Canis lupus familiaris: one gene and its partners. The protein of the gene in region 3 purifies or fractionates together with the protein of the main gene of each other region. This does not show direct contact. Links are inferred from orthologs where the notes say so. Each region holds a gene or a part of one and is shown on either strand. Other genes may lie near its edges.

Region 1 (5,445 bases), on a different chromosome or scaffold from region 3:
ATGAACTTTCTAGCTTAATATATCAGAAAGCCTTATTTAAAAAAAAAAAAAAAAGAAAGCCTTATTTTATACTGCAGTTGTATAGGCAGAACAGCTAATACAAGCAGCATACACCATTAAAGTCAGAGCTGTCCCTGGATTTCTAACCATCCAAATATTCACCTAACCAAGAAAAATGTGCCCTAACGCCCTTTTTATTTTATTTTATCACTTTAGCAGCGTCACCCTTTAGACCAGAAAGCTGGCGGGCACTATGGGGAAGAAACAAAACAAGAAGAAAGTGGAGGAGGTGCTAGAAGAGGAGGAAGAGGAATATGTGGTGGAAAAAGTTCTTGACCGTCGAGTGGTAAAGGGCAAAGTGGAGTACCTCCTAAAGTGGAAGGGGTTCTCAGAGTAAGTTTCATTAACTTGGGTAAATCTATCTATTTAGTCACTGACTATTTCTCAGGAGTCTAGTAATGCGCAAGGCCTAGGGTGCTCTGATGGGTAGTATGACCCAGGCCTGGCCTTCATGGCTTAGAGTCTAATGAGGAAAACTGTCCACATGTACAAAGTGCTACAATGCCAGACAGTGATTTATGAGAAGCAGTTTTATGTGCAGCTTTAGACTGATTCAAGTTTGCAAAGAAAGTAATTTTCCTTTGAAGAAGGCAAGTTTCTAAGCTTTTAATTTACATTAAAAAGTCTGATGCCAACCCCCCTGCCCCAAGAAATCTCAGTGTTACCAAGGTTCTTGGTCTTGGACAAAATCTGGATACTCATTATCATTAACTCCTCTTTTCCAAGGACACCAGCTCTCGTCATCCTGTGCATCTCCTTAGTATGAGTGTGCTAACTTTTGAGTGGAAAGTGTGACTCACTGTGCCCTCTGGTTTCAGTGAGGATAACACGTGGGAGCCAGAAGAGAACCTGGATTGCCCTGATCTCATTGCCGAGTTTCTACAGTCACAGAAAACAGCACATGAGACAGATAAATCAGAGGGAGGCAAACGCAAAGCTGACTCTGATTCTGAAGATAAGGGAGAAGAGAGCAAACCAAAGAAGAAGAAAGAAGAGGTAAGGGGAGAACAAGTTTTACTAGCCCAGAATTCCTACTGCTGTCAAAGCTGAAAAGCCTTTTAATTTTTAAATTTAAGGAGTTTTATTCTGCTGCTTCTTGGGCCTCAGCACCCATCTCTCCTTCCTCTGGAATCTTAGGCTAATGCTTATAAAGTGTTTGGGGGTTCACTTTGCTGAAGCCATGTAATCTATACTTTATCCAAGTTTCTTTCCTTTTTTTTTTTTTTTTTTTTTAAGATTTTATTTATTTATTCATGAGGGACACACAGAGAGAGAGAGGCAGAGACACAGGCAGAGGGAGAAGCAGGATCCATGCAGGGAGCCTGATGTGGGACTCGATCCTGGGCCTCCAGGATCACACCCCGGGCCGAAGGCAGGCGCTAAACTGCCGAGCCACTCGGGCTGCCCTACTTTATCCAAGTTTCAAGAATAATAATGAGTGCAAATAAATTCATTCCTATAGATAGTTTTCAGTGTTGTAATCATTACAGGTGTTAGCTCTATATTTATTCAGTACCTTAAAGTAAGTTATCTTCTGAGGGTGAAGAAACTGTTGTGAAAATTTATTTTGCTTGAGATGTATGTCCCTTTTTACATATGGGGAAACCTCAAGACCTTGATGGAAGAATCACTCAGAAGGATGCATAAAGGCCTGTGACTTGGAGCCAAGGTATTGATGAAATACTGACAAGAATGTGATTATATTAATCAGAGGAGCAGGAGTGACTCTAGTCTGGATAACAGTCCCACATAATTAAATTTGTTGCATCCATCTGATTTTTACAGTCAGAAAAGCCACGAGGCTTTGCCCGGGGTTTGGAACCAGAGCGGATTATTGGAGCTACAGACTCCAGTGGAGAACTCATGTTCCTGATGAAATGGTGAGTCTGCTGGTGGCCCTGTGTGGTGGTTTTTTTCTTCTCCCCATCTGTTCCATGCCAGAGGAAAAGAGCTGGATCTTCGAAATTCCAGTCGCCCAAGTGTGAAATCTTTAAGATGGCATAGTCCTTCGATAGTGACCCTCGGCCTGACTGCCAGCCTGGACTCATGAGTTACAGGTAGGGGCCCTTAGGATTCTCAGATCTTTGCCCCATTTATTAGGAGGTGGGAGAAAATCCAGGATGGAGAAGGTACAGGGAAGGATCACATTTCACTTCTGTGAATGAAGGGGTTGGGAATGAAATGTGATTGAACCACCTTCCCCTTGTACAACCTCCTTAATAAAAATTGGGCTGGCCCCAGGATCAGAAGTTCTGTTAACTTCTCAGGGTTATTTAAGAATTTCTGTAGCTCTTCCTTTGTCTTTGATTGTTAGATCCTTTCCAATTTGTGCAGATTCTGTAATTCCAGGATCAGCCAGTAGGGGTCAGCAAGTCACCTTTACTGTACTGAGAGCATAGAGTAATAGGCTATTTTTTTCCATTAGAAGTATGAATACCAATGGTAGTAATACTCCACAAAACAGCTTAAGGAAAACAGTTGTCTTGAGAATGATAAGAACTTTAATTAACCCCAGATTCCCTAAAATATCCCTATTCTCTGCCAAAAGGAAGGCTTTCTTTTCTTTTTCTTGCTGGTTGAAAAATGTTTGTGCTTTTTTCCCCCCCCAGGTAGGTCTCAAATATTGTCCTTAAAATATAAATTAGGAGGGAATGATTCTAAGCCTTTACCAGTTAAGGCAGAATTTTAAGGATTTTGTCCTTTTGTCAGTCTAGAATCTTCTCTTAAATTCCTGTCTATACTAATTCCTCTTGCTTAGAAGGTGGTCAGAGAGGCCTGACTTTGACACTGCTGAAAGCTTATGTCACAATTAGGTGAAACTCTTGTTTTCTTATTTTGTGTTTCCTATGTTCACTGAATCTGACATTTTAGCTGCTTTACTGCTAGCCTATAGGAGAAAAGTTCATTTTTCATTTTTAAGGTGTGCATCTGGGGTGGTGGGGGGAGATTGATACCAGGAGCTACAATCCAACTAGAATATATTTTCACTGTCTGCATGTGATCAGTCTGAGTTACTATACTATCTCCATATTGTTTAAGATTGCACTCCTTTGGTTGAATTACTGCTATTTTTAAAGATTATACCTGAATGTAATTCTACAAGTTAAGATAAAAAGATTGGATGTTGATTAGAAAAACCTAGTTCATTTTAAGATGATTTTCTGGAAGAGTTGAAATAGTTGTCCATTACCAAAATAGAAAATATTCCTTTGTTATGAAATAACTGAACTTCCCTCAAAGTATTGTTTGAATTGTCAACAAGGGCAGCCTCCTTCAGGCTCCCATATTGTTAGACTCCTTTTCCCTCCCATTCTTTTCAGTCTGTTGTTCAGAAACATACCTTACCAGTTTAGTCAACCCTGGTTCCTTGTGCTCTCTGGCTTTGGTTTATCTGTTTCTGAGTTCTAGAAGTTTTGGGTGGTGCCTCATTGGATCCCATCATATAACTGCTACCTGCCTTAATGCTGCTACTCTCATCTAGGAGATTCCTAGTGACCTTACTCCTAAGTCCTTTGTAATATGTATGTGATTTTCAAATTTTGAGACCATTTTTTAAAATTCAGGAAAATATAGAGAATTATGTAACAGTCCCTTATTTTCTACTTCCCAGTGTTGAAGCACCATTTCAAAGCACCTGGGAGTTGTGGAATATCTGTGTGAGCATGGCATTTGGTAATGTTAAACAGTGTAATTATGAGTCAATGAGAATGTGTCCAACTGCATTGGCTAGAGCCAATGGTATTAAATCTTATTATTGGTATTAAATCTTACTATTGGTATAAAATCAATTACTATCCAAAATTCTACTACAAAGCCAAGATCTCTCCATGGGCTCTTGGGAGCTTGGCTTTTGGATGAGTATGGTAGCCTTTCTTCTGCCCTCCAAGAATCTGAGAGTCATGTTTGTTTTTGTTTTTGTTTTTGTTTTTTTCCTGGCCTTGCCAGAGGTTCACATGTGATAGATTGAGTTAAGTGACTGAGCTTAACAAAGATACCAGAGAGGATTTTCAACAGAAGACCTCTGAGGATGTCACTTGACTAAATGCTGTGTAGGCCATGTTATCGCCCTATCCCTTGTGTAATCCAGGTTAGGAGACCACTAGCACCTGGTCTCAGGGTCTCTCTGCTTTGTTCTGCAGGAAAAATTCTGATGAGGCTGACCTAGTCCCTGCCAAGGAAGCCAATGTCAAGTGCCCACAGGTGGTCATATCCTTCTATGAGGAAAGGCTGACGTGGCATTCTTACCCCTCGGAGGATGATGACAAAAAAGATGACAAGAATTAACTGTCCTGAGTACCTGCCCCTGTCACATCTGACTGTGGGTTTCAAGTGGGGAGGGAAGGAGTTCTACTCGTCTTGACACCGTAGAGGTGGCTTGAGAAGATGTCCTTTGAAGAGCCAGTATCGTTTCTGTGCCCTACAGCAGCCCAAGTGCTTTAAAGCCTTTCCATGCTGTGTAGTTTGCACACCCATCCCAGTGGAGGGGAAGGAAGAGAAGTATTGCAAGGCCACCCATTCTGTACTTTGCTGAGAAAGGCAAAGGGCCTTCCATGAAGGACAGAACTTGCAGAATGGGTGTGTGGGAGAGCAAAAGATACTGTAGATCTTCAAAGTGCATCTCCACAACCCACAGCCTTCTTCCCAATAGTGTTAACTCTGCATTTTTACAGCGTAGCATGTGTGTAGTTTTTGGCTATTACTGGTGTATCATTTGGGGGTGGGAGGGTTGGGGGTGGGAAGGAACGGAGATGGGTAGGATCATTTTTGTTAAAATTTGGGGCCTGATTGGGAAAATGGTGAAACAATGGAAAGAACAAACTTGTGGTGATTTGGTTCTGTGTCCAGAATATTTTATCTTTTCAAAAAATGTCATTGGCAACCTAAATGAGGACTGTGAGAGACTGTTTAAAAGCTGTGAATGCCTGAAACTTAAAGCCAAGGTGTTCCCTGCCTGAGCTTAATGCTATTCCCAACAAAGGACTAAGCCAGTTAATAAGTTACCAAAGCTGCCATTTTGGGGATGGAAACTGGTTGAAGAGGGAAAGTCTTATTGGAGCGTATACATAGGCAGATTGTTCTGTCATAGAGGTGCTAATTCTTGAAATTGGTAAGAAGACCCTTTCTTTTCCAACTATGAAGTTTTAAACATCAGCTTATCCATCCAAGCCACTGGCTGAGGTATTTGGGGAGGAGAAGAGGGTGGTATAGAAGGTGGGAGAGTAGAGAAAGACAAGGGCCCATGCTCTTAGGGTGGAAAACTCTTGGAGCCTATTATTTGAACTTTGAACCCTGAAATCATTGGTGGCAGGGTTCAATCACTGACAGCACAAGTTCATTGAATCACTTCAAGAGTTGAATGACTTCAAAAGCCCTGGTCTCAGGAGA
Region 2 (6,052 bases), on a different chromosome or scaffold from region 3:
GGGAGCTGCGTCTCGCAGCGCCCGACTCATCTGCAGTGCGTCCCACACCTGGGAGTTAAGGCTTGCACACTGCAGGGGCGTCTCTCCTTCTTTGTTTTTCAAGGTGACATCTGAATCCCGAGAAAGAAAGAGGCTAAAAGGAAAAATGTAAGCCAATAAAACATTCAGACCTTAATTTAAAAGATATGAGAATGAGATTTACAAAATAATTACAGTCAGTAAAAATAAAAGGAACACATCATTTATCTTGGTATTAAGCTTGCTGACCGGTGCTTCTAGAAAGACCTGCCCTGACTCACCAGGAACATACTACATCAGTCTTTTTTTTTTTTGCTCCAGAACTGTGTGTAAAGAACAAGAGATGGTACTTGAGGGCTCTTGGCTTTTCCATTCAGAGGCTCATGGACGCCCAGGGCCAGCATGAAGCAGGTAAACCACACCAGCTGGCCGTGTCCAGGGTCCTGATCCACTTGGAAGCGGGACAGCTCACCCAGCCCCACTCAAGGGCCTCACGCACAACCTTCTCTGCCGAGCTGCCACCAAGGTCCCAGTCTGAGTGGGCGTGTGGCCCACAGCAGGGCTCCCCCTCATTTCCAGGTGAGATGGAGGGACCCGAGGTCCTGTCCCCCACACTCAGAGCTTCCACTGACAGCAGAGCGAGAACCACTCTGGACCCCAGGACCCCAACCGCACCCACTCATGAGAGGATGACTCCCCAGAACCCCAACCGCACCGTCTCTCACTCATATGAGACGGGAAGGGGTTCAGAGTGGCGAGTGGTAAACACCAACATCTCTGTCCCTCCTGAACCTGTCCCAGAGGGGCCTGTCCCCTCCCCTCTGATGAGAGGTGCTGGGTGAGACTCATCTCCACACTCACCTATGTATTTGGGGATTCTTAACAACCATCCTCCCTGAACCAGAAATAACCAGACTGACCTCACATGTGGAATGGGACCCTTACACCTCTGGCTGTTTGTGGAAGAAGCTTCCCTGGGAGGACCTGGGGCACCAGGGCGCCCCCACCCTAGGAGCCTGGCAGGGGCTGCATGCAGCAGAGCCACTCACAGGACACAGGCATAGCGGTCCTCCCTGGCTGCAATGTGCAGGGGCGAGTCTCCATGGACGTTCACGGCGTGGAGGTCACACCTGGCAGCCAGCAGGATCTCGGCTATGTCCACGCAGCCCGAGAACGCAGCCCAGTGCAGGCAGATGTTCTCCTCCTGCACAGACAGACGGCACAGCACACCAAGGGGAGAGCAAAGACCCATCTGAGTGCTGAGGGAGCTTCCTTTTTTGTTTTGTTTTCATCATAAAAGTAACATAATCACAGTACTATTTTAAAAATAGAATAAAAAATCATCTGAAATTAGACCAACCTAAGCACACTATTAACGTAACATCTGGGAGTAAGTTATCTACTTTTTAAAAATATTTTATTTATTTATCATGAGAAAGAGAGAGAGAGAGAGAGAGAGAGAGAGAGGCAGAGACACAGGCAGAGAGAGAACCAGGCTCCATGTAGGGAGCCCGATGTGGGACTCTATCACAGGTCTCCAGGATCAGGCCCTGGGCTGAAGGTGGCACTAAACCGCTGAGCCACCCAGGCTGCCCCAAGTTATCTACTTTTTAAAATTATATTCACTCTGTAACAAAGTACAATTGCAAAACAGGACACTTGTGTAAGATTTTTAAAAGATAAAATGTAGACAAATTTGATCACACTAAAATTTTACTTCATAAAAACCCCTGTAAAATAAAACTTTTATTTATTTTTTTAAAGATTTATTTATTTGAGAGAGAGCCCGAGCAGGGGGAGGGACAGAGGAAGAAGCAGGCTCTCTGATGAGCTGGAAGCCCTATGTGGGGCTCGATTCCAGGACCCGAGATCAAGACCTGAGCTGAATCCAGACGCTTAAGCTTGTGAGCCACCCAGGTGCCCCCCTCCCTTTTTAAAAAGGATTGATTGATTGATTTGAGAGAGGAGACAGTAGGAGTAGGGAAATCATTTTAAATCAAAGATTAGAAAAAAACCATTTGTGCTGTGTATAAACTACACTGTAATTTTGAAAACAAATACACAAAAGGTATAAAAATGTAAAACTTGTGTGACCGATGAGGAACACACGTTAAGTATAGGGAACATGTGGCCTTGCCAGGTGGGAAATGAGCACAAAGTAGCCATGACATAGCCGTGAAGCAACCACCCTGGGGACAAATATGAAAGCTGCTCTGACCCCACCCCTGCAGCGCAGGCCACTAGCTCATGGTCATGACCTTCAGGTGGTTCCCGTCTTCCTGTGGACTCAGGCACTGAATACTTTAGCCCTTTCTTTTCCTGACATGCTCTCAGGGCTTAAATGCTCTCGAGGCTTAAGCGCTTAGAGGTGCAAATTTGTGGCCCTGGAAGCACTTCCTGCTCTCCTGGCAGAGAGGGTGCTGAAGTCCCAGTACCTCACAGGAGCCACCACTGAAATCAAGCCTGGCTGCCCACTCTGGCCCCCCCACCAGCAGAGCCCCATGCACTGCGTGCCCAGCTGCGCCCACATCAGTCCCCATGGAACCCATATGCCGGCTATGTGACTCTGAATGCCTCAATCCTGCCCCCTTCCCACCCACAGAACCCCCTGGAACGCTCCAGTGATTGAGGACAATCGGAGTGCATCCAATGCTTGCGGCCCAATGAACTTGAGGAAAGAGATAAGTCAAACCATGTGGTCCTGTCTGTTCACAAACAGTGTCTAGCCCCTAGCACAGGCTTCACATGGGCTCCTGTCAGCCTCAGTATTTTCTGAAAAGCATGGATCTGCCTGGAGCTTCCTTTACTGGACGCTGCACTGGGATGCCTGCTATCCCTCTCATCTTTCCATCTTCCATACATTTGCAAGCTCCAGAACAAAAGGTGGTTTCCTGAGGGGCCTCTTTTTTCATTCCTTCATCAGAAGGACCTATTATATTATAACCAGAATCACATGCTAAGACTGTCTGTGTCCACCTAGGCTCCTCCTAGCAGAGGAATGCAGTCCCAGACTAGCTGACATCTGCCTGCTGGGTTACAAAAGGCCTGACCCACACATCTGAAGTGACAGACAGCACTTTGGTTCTAGCAGAGACCAGGCCAGAGGGACCATCTGGATTTACCCTCCTGCCTGAAAGAGCCAAATAGTCAAAATATGTGAAATAGGGGAGCCTGAGGGGCTCAATCGGTGAAGCATCTGCCCTTGGCTCAGGTCATGATCTCCGAGTCCTGGGATGGAGCTCTGCGTCGGGCTCCCTGCTCAGTGGAGAGTCTGTTTCTCCCTTTTCCTTTGCCCTTCCCCCTGCTTATGCTCTCTGTCAAGTAAATAAAATCTGCCCCCTCCAAAAAAAAATGTGTGAAACAATGGTTTTCAAGACACTGGACACCAGGCAATGAAGGGCTACATCCCTGAAAGTAGAAACAAATACGGCCTGGGTCTGTCCACTCACTGTCCTGAGATCCAGCCTCAGCACAGGGAGAGACCAGAAGTTCAAAGGTAGGAAGTGAGAGCCAGTGGCTAAGGCAGCTGGGGTTCACAAAACAGGGGTAAGGCTGGGAAGAGGCCTCTGGAGATCAGACATTCCCATCCTGGACCTCCAAGACACACCTCCAAAGCTGAAGCATAAAGAGCTGAGACCTGCTTGAGCTCACCTAACAAACCTAGAAAGCAAAACCCAAAACAGACTATTTCCAAGCCACTTTGCTGCACCCAGAACAAAGCTTAAGACTTTTCCAGGAAAATACAGAAATTCACAGCTCGGTAAAACCAAAATGTCTGGCACCAACATAAGGTTGCAAACAAAACTTCCGGAGCTGACAAGCACGATGTCTGACAGAAACACACTGGATGAGACTAACACCGTTACAGGCTATAAAGAAAAAAATTACTGAGCTTGAAGACACAGCAAAATTGTTATTAAGACCAGCAAAGCAGCTGTAAAACCAGCTAAATTGTGATCCAGAGTGAAAAACATGATTGAGAAAAATGAAAAGAGGGATCCCTGGGTGGCGCAGCGGTTTGGCGCCTGCCTTTGGCCTAGGGCGCGATCCTGGAGACCCAGGATCGATTCCCACGTCGGGCTCCCGGTGCATGGAGCCTGCTTCACACTGCCTGTGTCTCTGCCTCTCTTTCTCTCTCTGTGACTATCATAAATAAATAAATAAAAAAAAAAAAAGAAAGAAAAATGAAAAGAGCATCACTGAGCTGGGAACACCTTCCAGCCACCTGAAAATTACAGAGCGAGTGGCCCCTGTGAAGGGGGCCAGGCAGAAACACTCTGGGGAGGAATGAGGGCAGGGGTCTGTACCTGACATCCTAACCCTAACATCACTGACTCACGCTTCACAAGCCGTGACCTCACACGTGCGACACATGCGCGAGTGACACAAGGTGCATCATAATTCAACTGTTAAAATCTAGTGACAAAAAGAAAATCCTAAAATTGCCAAAAAAAAGCAGATGCACTGTATCTAGAAATAAGGACAAGGTGCCACCGAGAATTCCCTGTGGGAAACACGTCAGTGAGGACAACAGGGAGGCTGTGTGCATGAAGTACTGAAAGAAGCTGTTGACCAAAGTGCACACCCAGCAAAATACCTCCCAAAAAAAGTGAAGGCAAGATAAGGAATCTGCAGGCACTCATCAGGGGCAGTCCAGCGCCCCAGGACGCAACAAACAAGTCTGATGTGTAGAAGAAAAGTGACCCTGCACTGAAGGACCTAAGTAAGTGAATAAGGAGCAAAGAAAGTGGTGGCAGCAGGTGCTGAGACTTGAGACTTTCCTCACTACAGTGTTTCCAAAAGATCACGACAGTGGAAACGATGTGACAACGTATTGTGGTATCCCCACAACTCAGAGCAACAGCATGAGGCCTGGGCAAGCACACAGCACTCTGTCCTCACTGAGAGCGCAAGCACAGGCACAGGGGCAGATGCATGTGGGCCATGGCACAGCGGACAGAGCCGCACACATGTGCACAAAGGGGCAGAGTCAGTTCTGTGGAGAAGGGACGGCTTTTAGACAGATGGGCTGGAATGTCTAGACATCCTCATGCAAAACAATCACTATAAGAAAACACAGGAGAATGTCTTTGGGATCTTGGGTCAGGCAATGATTTCTTAAAGACAACACCAAACACATGATCCACAGGTAGAAAATAACTAATAAACTGGACTTTTTCAGTATTAAAAAGCATCTGCTTCTCAAAAACAATTGTTAGGGCTAGTAAAACATCTGATATAGAGAACTTGCATACAGAAAATACAGCAACTTTCAAAATGAAGAATAAGAAAAAATGATCTGATAAAAATGAGCAAAAGATCTGAACAGATACACACACACACACACCGGAAACCGCCCGGCCCACAAAGAACACAAAGACTGGCCAGAGTAAGTGCTGGGGAGGGTGTGAAGGAGCCGCCCTCAGATATGACTCTTAGGCACAGCCACTCTGGAAGCTGTGCAGCCTCCTTAGGTGACCCAGGTTTCATGGGAGAGAAATGACAACATGTGCCCACGTGAAGACACATGCCTGAGTGTCCACAGCAGCCGTGGGCGAGAGCCAGGACCCAGAAAAGCCAAAATCCACGACCAGGTGAAGGACAAATGAGCAATAGTGACTCCCAGGCTGATGCCGTCTGAGCAACATCCACACTGCAAGGATCCAGCTATGGAAAACCAACCTCACAAACAGAAAGCAGAGCTGTGGGTGGAGGCTATGAAGCAGCAGGAGGAAACTTGAGAGTGAGTGTCATGACCAGTCTTGACGAGGTGACGGTATCTGGGGTTAACACTCCTCTAACTGTACACTTTCAATAGTGCAGTCTCCCACTTCACACCAATAAAAGGTGTCACAATATAAGGTGAAATTATACAGCTGCTTGGTCATAGGAACAAACATGCAATTTAATCAACTCTCTTGTTTCCTGAGGACCACGACCAGTACCAGTGCTGACACCCATTGGACTCTGTGAGGCTGGGTGTTGCCCACGTACCCATATGCTCCTGACCTGACAGCTGCATGAGAGGACACCT
Region 3 (6,769 bases):
CTACTAAACCTAATTTTTTAAGATCAGAGAACATTCCCTTTGGAAACAGATGCAGGAAGTGGGGGTGGAGGAAGAGGGAAGTAAGCCAGCTTCCTTGAGACACCCCTGCCCTGGCCATGGGCACCCCAGACTCACGCGTATCTTCTTGTAATCACACAGGTACTCGACTTCAAAGTCATAGAGATTCCTCTTGGAGATGCCGAGGGCAGGGCAGGAGAGCTTGGCCAGACGGCACAGGTCCTGTAGCTGATTCCAAGACGACTTGCAACACACACTGCAGCCTAGAACAAGGAGGCCAGAAAGAACTTACTGGGTATCCTGCTGAAGGCACCGATCAAAGGGGACCCCAAATCCTTTCTGGGACTTCCAAAGAACTGCCTCAGAGTCAGTGAGATTTAATCCACAGGCTTTCTCCATGCTGAGACCCTTCTACATCAAAAAATGTGCCACTTCCTTCAGCCCCAGTGCTCATTCCAAGGCCATCCCCCCCACCCCAGCTGTAGCCCTCAAAGTGAGATCTGCTGCAGGAATTGTCCTAAAGGAATCTATTCCTAGAGCTTCCCCTCCATACTATTCCTAAAACTGCCTGCAAACCTGCAGTTGGGTTCAGGACCTAATCATCCCTCTCCCCACTTTGCAAAATAAAGAGAACAACCCCCATCTCAGTAGGGTGCATTGCCCTGAGGGAACTGATGGGGCTGGGATTACAACCTGTAGGCCCCAAACAAAGGCTTAACTGGAAAGACAGGTCTGGAATCCCTTATCTGAAACTCCTGGGGCTACTTTACTTGTGTTTAGGAATTCAGATTTTTTTTTTTTTTTTACAAGTGTAGTCCGAGGTATACCCCATGCACTACCTAACACCCGCTATGTGGTCAGGGGCATCAAGCCATAATCAAACACATTAGTAATTCTGCAGCAAAAAAATCTGAATTTTCTATATTAAATAGGAGAAATAAAGAGGCAAGATAGTCCCACTTTATAGTCTAGTTTTGCCCCTAAATTGCGCCAAACTTAAGTTTTCAGAGCTTTTTAGATTTCAAAATTATGAATGAGAGACTGTGGAATGGTATTAGATTTCAGGAAGCTTCCTTGAATGATTAGCCTGGGTGCCTTAAACCTACAAGGTATATTTTTTCACACCGCATTTTAGCTTGCCGTCTCATCTACATTTCTGTGAAGGGTAAAGCTCACCCAAAGGAGTACGCTCTGAATTCAGGAACCAGCAAAACAGTATAGGTTATTGACAATTCTTTTAAATATACCTGGAATGTTTCTGGTGCTATCAGAAATTTTCAAGACGCCGATTTAAAGGAAAGAAAAAGACTTCTGATTCAAGGCACAATGTGCTTTAAAGCCATTTTATCAAATCATTCCATTGAACACTAATTCCAAATGCAGTCAGTACTCATCCTATTTTTAATATCGTCTACCTCCCGTTAAAAAAATCAGACATTTGAACTCCTAATGAAATACTGCAGACGTCAACCTGAAAACGTACAAGAGCATTGCAAAATTATTTCGTGTGCACAACCCCCCCTCCACTGAGGCAGGCCTAGTGGAGACTCAGCCTGTGCCCACGCTTTCCTCTCCCTATGATGCCTCTCCCTTTCAAGCCCCTTAACTTGCATTTGAAACCCCACTAAAGTGGTCCCAAACTAACCTCTCCAGCTGCTGGCTCCGCACTGGCCACAGGTGGATTCCTACCTCTCAGAGGTCCCCCTCACACTGTGGAGGCCATCCTCCCCGCAGCTATCCTCACCCAGAGGAGCCCACCCTCCCCAACATACTGGAAAAGTCACCCCTCTTTCCCTACACACGAGGGAGTCCAGCTCTCCTATCAGAGAAGCCCCCTTTCCCCTCTTCCCTGGGGAGTCTTCTCTACAGCAAACCCTTTCCCCATCACGCGGAAAGGAGATACCCTCACCATGAAGAGTCCTCTGTCCCCCACTCTGAAAAGGAGGTCCGTCCCCTTCCCTTCCCTCCCCTTCCGGCGTCTCGCGTGGACACCAACCGGGTAACGGTCACTGGCGGCCGATTTTCCCGCGCGCGGGTGCGGCCTCCCCGACAAGCCCCCGCGCGTGCGCGCGCCGACTGGTCGCGATCAGAGGCGCGCGCCCCCCTGCCGCGTCCCCACTTAGCCCCGCGCCCGCCGCGTTCGGAGGCACGCGCCCCCTCCCCTCAGCCCCGCCCAGCCCCGCGCGCCAGGCCCGGGTTCCAAGAGCCCCATCCTTTCCGCGCCAAGCTTCCGGCTCCTGGCTCCGTGGCCTCAGACGCCGGGGCCCCAAGCCCGCGACGCCACCCCTCTAGCCCACCCGGCCCGGCCAGCAGGCCGGCGCCGCTACCGCCACTGCTTCACCTTTTAAATTTTCCGCCATCTTTCCCCACGGCTAACGACATTCGGGCCTAACCGGCCTCGCGAGAAGAGAGCTCGCGCGGGCGTGGCCGAGAACGCGCAGCCTATTGGCCGCACGGCGCCGCGAGCATAGCCCGCGCGGACCAACCGGCGAGCCGTGACCGGACCCCTCCCCGCTACCCCGCTCGGTCCCGAAGGCGGGTGCTCGCCAGCGCTTTCCCAGAGTGCGTCTGGGCGGCAGCCGCAGCGGCGGCAACTGAGGTTGCCGGAGGCCCTACCCGTACGCTGGTCTGTCTGTCACGCTGTCAGCCAATCACGTTGTCAGCCGGCCGCACGGGGGATTCTCCGTCCTGTCAGACCCCCAATTACCACCGTCACTCGGTCGTCACCACATTTTAACCCCAAGCTGGCCGTGACTCCCAAGATGGACTGTCACCACGTACAGCTGCTCAGCCAGTCCCCAGAATTAAATCAGACAATGGGTCCATCACCACAGACAACTGTTTAGTCAGACCCCGGTCCCCCACCCCCATTCACAGGGTCTGTCAGTCAACGGCAGCATCCGTTCGTGGCCAGCTGCGAGTCTTAAGGCAGACACGCATTCCTAACAACTACACTGTTAGCCGGCCTATCATTCCCTCTGGCTGCCCCTTTTTCACACAGTCAAGCAGCCGGTCTCTCCATCTCTTGCTCTGGGGGCAGCCCTGAATCCCCCTTGGGAAAGCCTCTCACAGCCACCAGCCGTGGCTCAGGTGGGCCGTGATTAGGTGAGGACAGGCTGTCATTGTCATCTGATGTCGCCCTCTCAGGCAGTCACACTGTCCAGTGTTGGTCAATATTTAATTCCCTCAGGTTACTCCTCATTCACGCCATGATCAGGCAATTATTCCCTCAAAGAAATAGTCACAGCAACTAAAGCCTCCATGCCACCTGACAGTGGGTCAGCAGTCTGTCACTTCTCAGCGAGGTATGCCCACCATTGGTCAGTCATTTGGTCAGTCTCCGTGGGGCTCCCTCCAGGCGGCTGTGATTCCAACCTGATACAGCCATCCAGTCAGGCAGCTACACTGGTATTTCAACTGGTCAGATGGCCTGTGAGTCGTTCACTGCTCTTCATCGTTTTGTCAGTCGCCAGGCAGCCATTCTCAGCATCTGACTGACCACACATGGTCTATGTGGTCAGGGTGGACAGTCACTCACCAGATACAGTTGCCTATCAGGCAGTCACAGATCTGTCCCTCAGTCAGCCCGAAATTCCTTCAGGGTAGCCCTCCTTTACACTGCATCAGACAGTGTAACATCCAGACACTCCCTCAGGCCAGATGTGACTCCTAGCAATAGTCAGCCACGCACAACATCCCGCCGCCCAGGCAGCAGCAACAGCACACACCACCAGTCAGCCAGCTTGTCAGTCCCTTGGGAGGCTGCCTGTCTTCTACACTATCAGACCACCAGTCCCAGCCAGTCCCAGGTGGGCATAATTTAGTTAGATATTCAGTACCTCCTACCATCAGGCAACTGCACTGTCAGTTCCTCAAAGCGCCCCTTTCCCTGTTGGCACATGAGTTATGTGGTCAACCAAATGATTACAGTTAAGCAGATGGTTGTTCTGTCCACCTGCCAGTCTAGCTCTGAGCTTGTTGGAGAAATAGACGGTCAGTCTGAAGTTCCATCAGCTCCTGCTTACCATGACTGGAACAATCAGCAGCATACGTCCCACCACGCATCCTCTTCCTTCCCTTATTCCTTCTAGAACACAGTCAGATGCTGGTCCTTGCGTGCTCCCAGTCTCCCCCAAAAGGTAAAACCCTCCTATTCCCAGGAGCCTAGTCCAACCCATAAGAATGGCTTAAGGCCCGACTGAATCTGGAGGGGGTGATGTAGGAGCATGTGGGTGTTGGGCAAACATCCCTTTGCCAATTTGAAAGATAAAACTGCCAGTTATGTTACCAGCAAAAGATGAGTTTATTCAGGAATAGCTGAGAATTGCAACGCAGAACAAGCAAGTTATGGCAAAACCATATGCAAGTCCAATAAACAAAGGAGAACATTATGTTATGGAGAAGGAGGAGGTTGGGAGGGGTTTGGAACAAAAATCTATTGGACAACAGCAAGAGTTCATACTGATGATGGTTTCTCATTGGCTGAGTTGCAGGAGTAGTCAGTTTCTTAAAGGAGATAGGATGTACATCTTTCCTTTGTTGGGGGCCTATAATTGACCATTCTTTCCTGTTGAGATACTTCTGTTGGGTGTGTAGCTGAAACTTTTTGCAGTAGACATTGTGCTGTAGGCTTCCTCTACCAGCCTCCCCTTCTAACATCCTGAGTCCATTTAAGTAAGGTTTCCCTTTCTTAATTTTCACACCGTGGTCCTCCCCAAACAGTATATATAATGTAATGAGTAGAGGCATGGATCTTGGAGCCTAGCTACCTGGATTCAAATGGTAGCATTTGCTAAATTGTGTGACCTTAGGCAGTTTCTTCATCTGAAAATGTCAGATGAGTGGCTTTGGGGTGGGTATCTCCCACTCATCTGGAAATCAATCTTTCTGGACTAGCATCTGTCCAGGAGACCTCAAAAGGAAGAGGCCACCCTATTATTACTGTGTCCCAATCCCAGCCATTTGTCTGTTCATTCAGCACTACTTTAGTGCCAACTGTGTATATTGCCTTGCCCAGTGCTGGGGCCAAATAAGGTCTTCTCCATTCCAAGCTGTATAGGTTTGACCTGTTTTCAATGCAAACCCCATCTTTGAGTGTACCACACATTTAGGAGAGGTCACAGGCCATGGGTGATCAGTGTCATGCGTTTTCACAAGCAAACATAACTGTGGGACCAGAACAAAGGTTAAGAAACATCTCCAGCCAGAGATCCAGGAACACTTAATTCTGGAACATCTCTGAATTCTGGCTGCATCTCCCAAGCACTGGTGAGTCATAACTTAATTCGCAGTACTTTTTTGGTCTTCCTTGGTGATACATACAATAATGGTGCATTTTATGATCAGTGGTGACTCAGGATCAACCAGTAGTAGGAAGATTAATAGCAGCAGTGGCATCTAATGTTTGTAGTCACCTTAAGGAGCCAGGAACTTTGCAGACACTTTAATTCTGCAACCTTGCAAAGTATGCATTTTTTTTGTCTCAAATTAAAGATGGGGAAAACTGAGGCCCAGAAGGGTCAAGCAACTTGCCCATGGTCAGTACTGGTTTGCCAAGCCCATGCCTGCCGTAGGCAGTGCTCCTGAGGATTCAGGGGTTGTATGATACAAGGTCTTCTCCATGACAAAGCCTGCTGAGGGGGTCCCAGCACACTGGATTTCTAGAGTTTCCTAGCAGGGAGTGGGGAGGCAGGTGAGTGATGCTGACAGGCCCTTCCTAGACTCAGCTGGCCCCTGGTGACCTGGCTGAGGTGGGGTGGGGAGTAGAGTGGAAGGTGAAGAACCATGAAAGAATTAAAAGGAACTTGAGACTCCCTCCTTCTTCAGCTTCTGTGGCTTCAGGGCAGTTCTTAAGGAGCAAAGTCAGCTCCCACTTCCCACACCTCCACCCTCACCGTGGCTCTCCTTTGCTCCTTCCCCTAGCCCACAGCCTGCACCTCTGATGTTTCAGAAATTCATCCACTGGTCTTGCAGATGAATGAAGCCTGATCTCTCCAGATTCCTCCTTACTGTTCTCTTTCTCCCCCACTCTCCTCTTCCTCCCCTAAAGCTAGGATACCTGAGATCTCCTTATCCACCAGATTTCAGAAATGAGAAGGAGGAGATACCTCTTCCAAGGCTCTGATGTGCAAGAGCGTCTATCACTCCCCCTGGAAATAGCTTTAAACACCAGGGACAGTTTTGAGTTGCTCCTTTTTTTTGGTGAGTAATTTCCTAGAAGAGGAGGGGGGAATCAGTTACATACTGTTATCTGGCCCATTGTATAAATGAAGAAACAGGCTCAGAGGTGGGGGGTCTTTCCCAGGTTCTAGAGCAGATCTATCTTATTACTAAGTCTTTGCTTCTTTGGTTGCCATTGGTCAGGACTTAGTTTGCTCTGAGAACTAGGCAGAACCAAATTTTAAAATTGAGAAAGGGATCCTGCCCATCAAGATCCTGGTGTGTGAGTTGTGTACATGGAGAGTAAGTCTGACCATCGAGTATTCTCTTGATCTAATATTGTGTTGATTAGACTTTTTTTAAATAAGTAAGTAAAGGAATAAATAACTCCTGATCATTCACCATGCTCAACCTCCAAGCTTTCCCTACCTCAAGGCTTTGCACGGGCTGTTCCCTCTGCCTGGAATGCCCTCCCCGCAAAGGTTTATTGGTTGACTCCTCTCTCTTTAGATTCTTCACAACTGTCACCTCCTCCGGGTGGCTTTCCCTAAATTTTCCATCTGAAGCTGTTCCCCCTCAGCCTATCACAGCA

The links.
Region 1: the proteins of SUV39H1 (region 3) and CBX1 purify together in Homo sapiens (affinity purification with mass spectrometry; 3 studies listed by BioGRID and IntAct, with this or other methods). This does not show direct contact. The link is inferred for Canis lupus familiaris from reciprocal best matches to the Homo sapiens genes SUV39H1 and CBX1.
Region 2: the proteins of SUV39H1 (region 3) and EHMT1 purify together in Homo sapiens (co-immunoprecipitation; 3 studies listed by BioGRID and IntAct, with this or other methods). This does not show direct contact. The link is inferred for Canis lupus familiaris from reciprocal best matches to the Homo sapiens genes SUV39H1 and EHMT1.

The regions. Positions count from the first base shown.
Region 1 is NC_049230.1:24,315,124-24,320,568, reverse strand, and holds the end of CBX1 (chromobox protein homolog 1), read left to right. Parts: intron 1-216; 5' UTR 217-253; coding exon 254-393; intron 394-878; coding exon 879-1,056; intron 1,057-1,845; coding exon 1,846-1,940; intron 1,941-3,670; coding exon 3,671-3,824; 3' UTR 3,825-4,191; downstream 4,192-5,445. UniProt on the Homo sapiens protein: Component of heterochromatin. Recognizes and binds histone H3 tails methylated at 'Lys-9', leading to epigenetic repression. Interaction with lamin B receptor (LBR) can contribute to the association of the heterochromatin with the inner nuclear membrane.
Region 2 is NC_049230.1:48,026,390-48,032,441, forward strand, and holds part of EHMT1 (histone-lysine N-methyltransferase EHMT1), read right to left. Parts: intron 1,223-6,052; coding exon 1,068-1,222; intron 134-1,067; coding exon 1-133. UniProt on the Homo sapiens protein: Histone methyltransferase that specifically mono- and dimethylates 'Lys-9' of histone H3 (H3K9me1 and H3K9me2, respectively) in euchromatin.
Region 3 is NC_049260.1:42,095,109-42,101,877, reverse strand, and holds the start of SUV39H1 (histone-lysine N-methyltransferase SUV39H1), read right to left. Parts: upstream 4,141-6,769; 5' UTR 4,084-4,140; coding exon 4,044-4,083; intron 2,533-4,043; exon of another isoform or gene 2,379-2,532; coding exon of another isoform or gene 2,360-2,378; intron 282-2,359; coding exon 136-281; intron 1-135. UniProt on the Homo sapiens protein: Histone methyltransferase that specifically trimethylates 'Lys-9' of histone H3 using monomethylated H3 'Lys-9' as substrate. Also weakly methylates histone H1 (in vitro).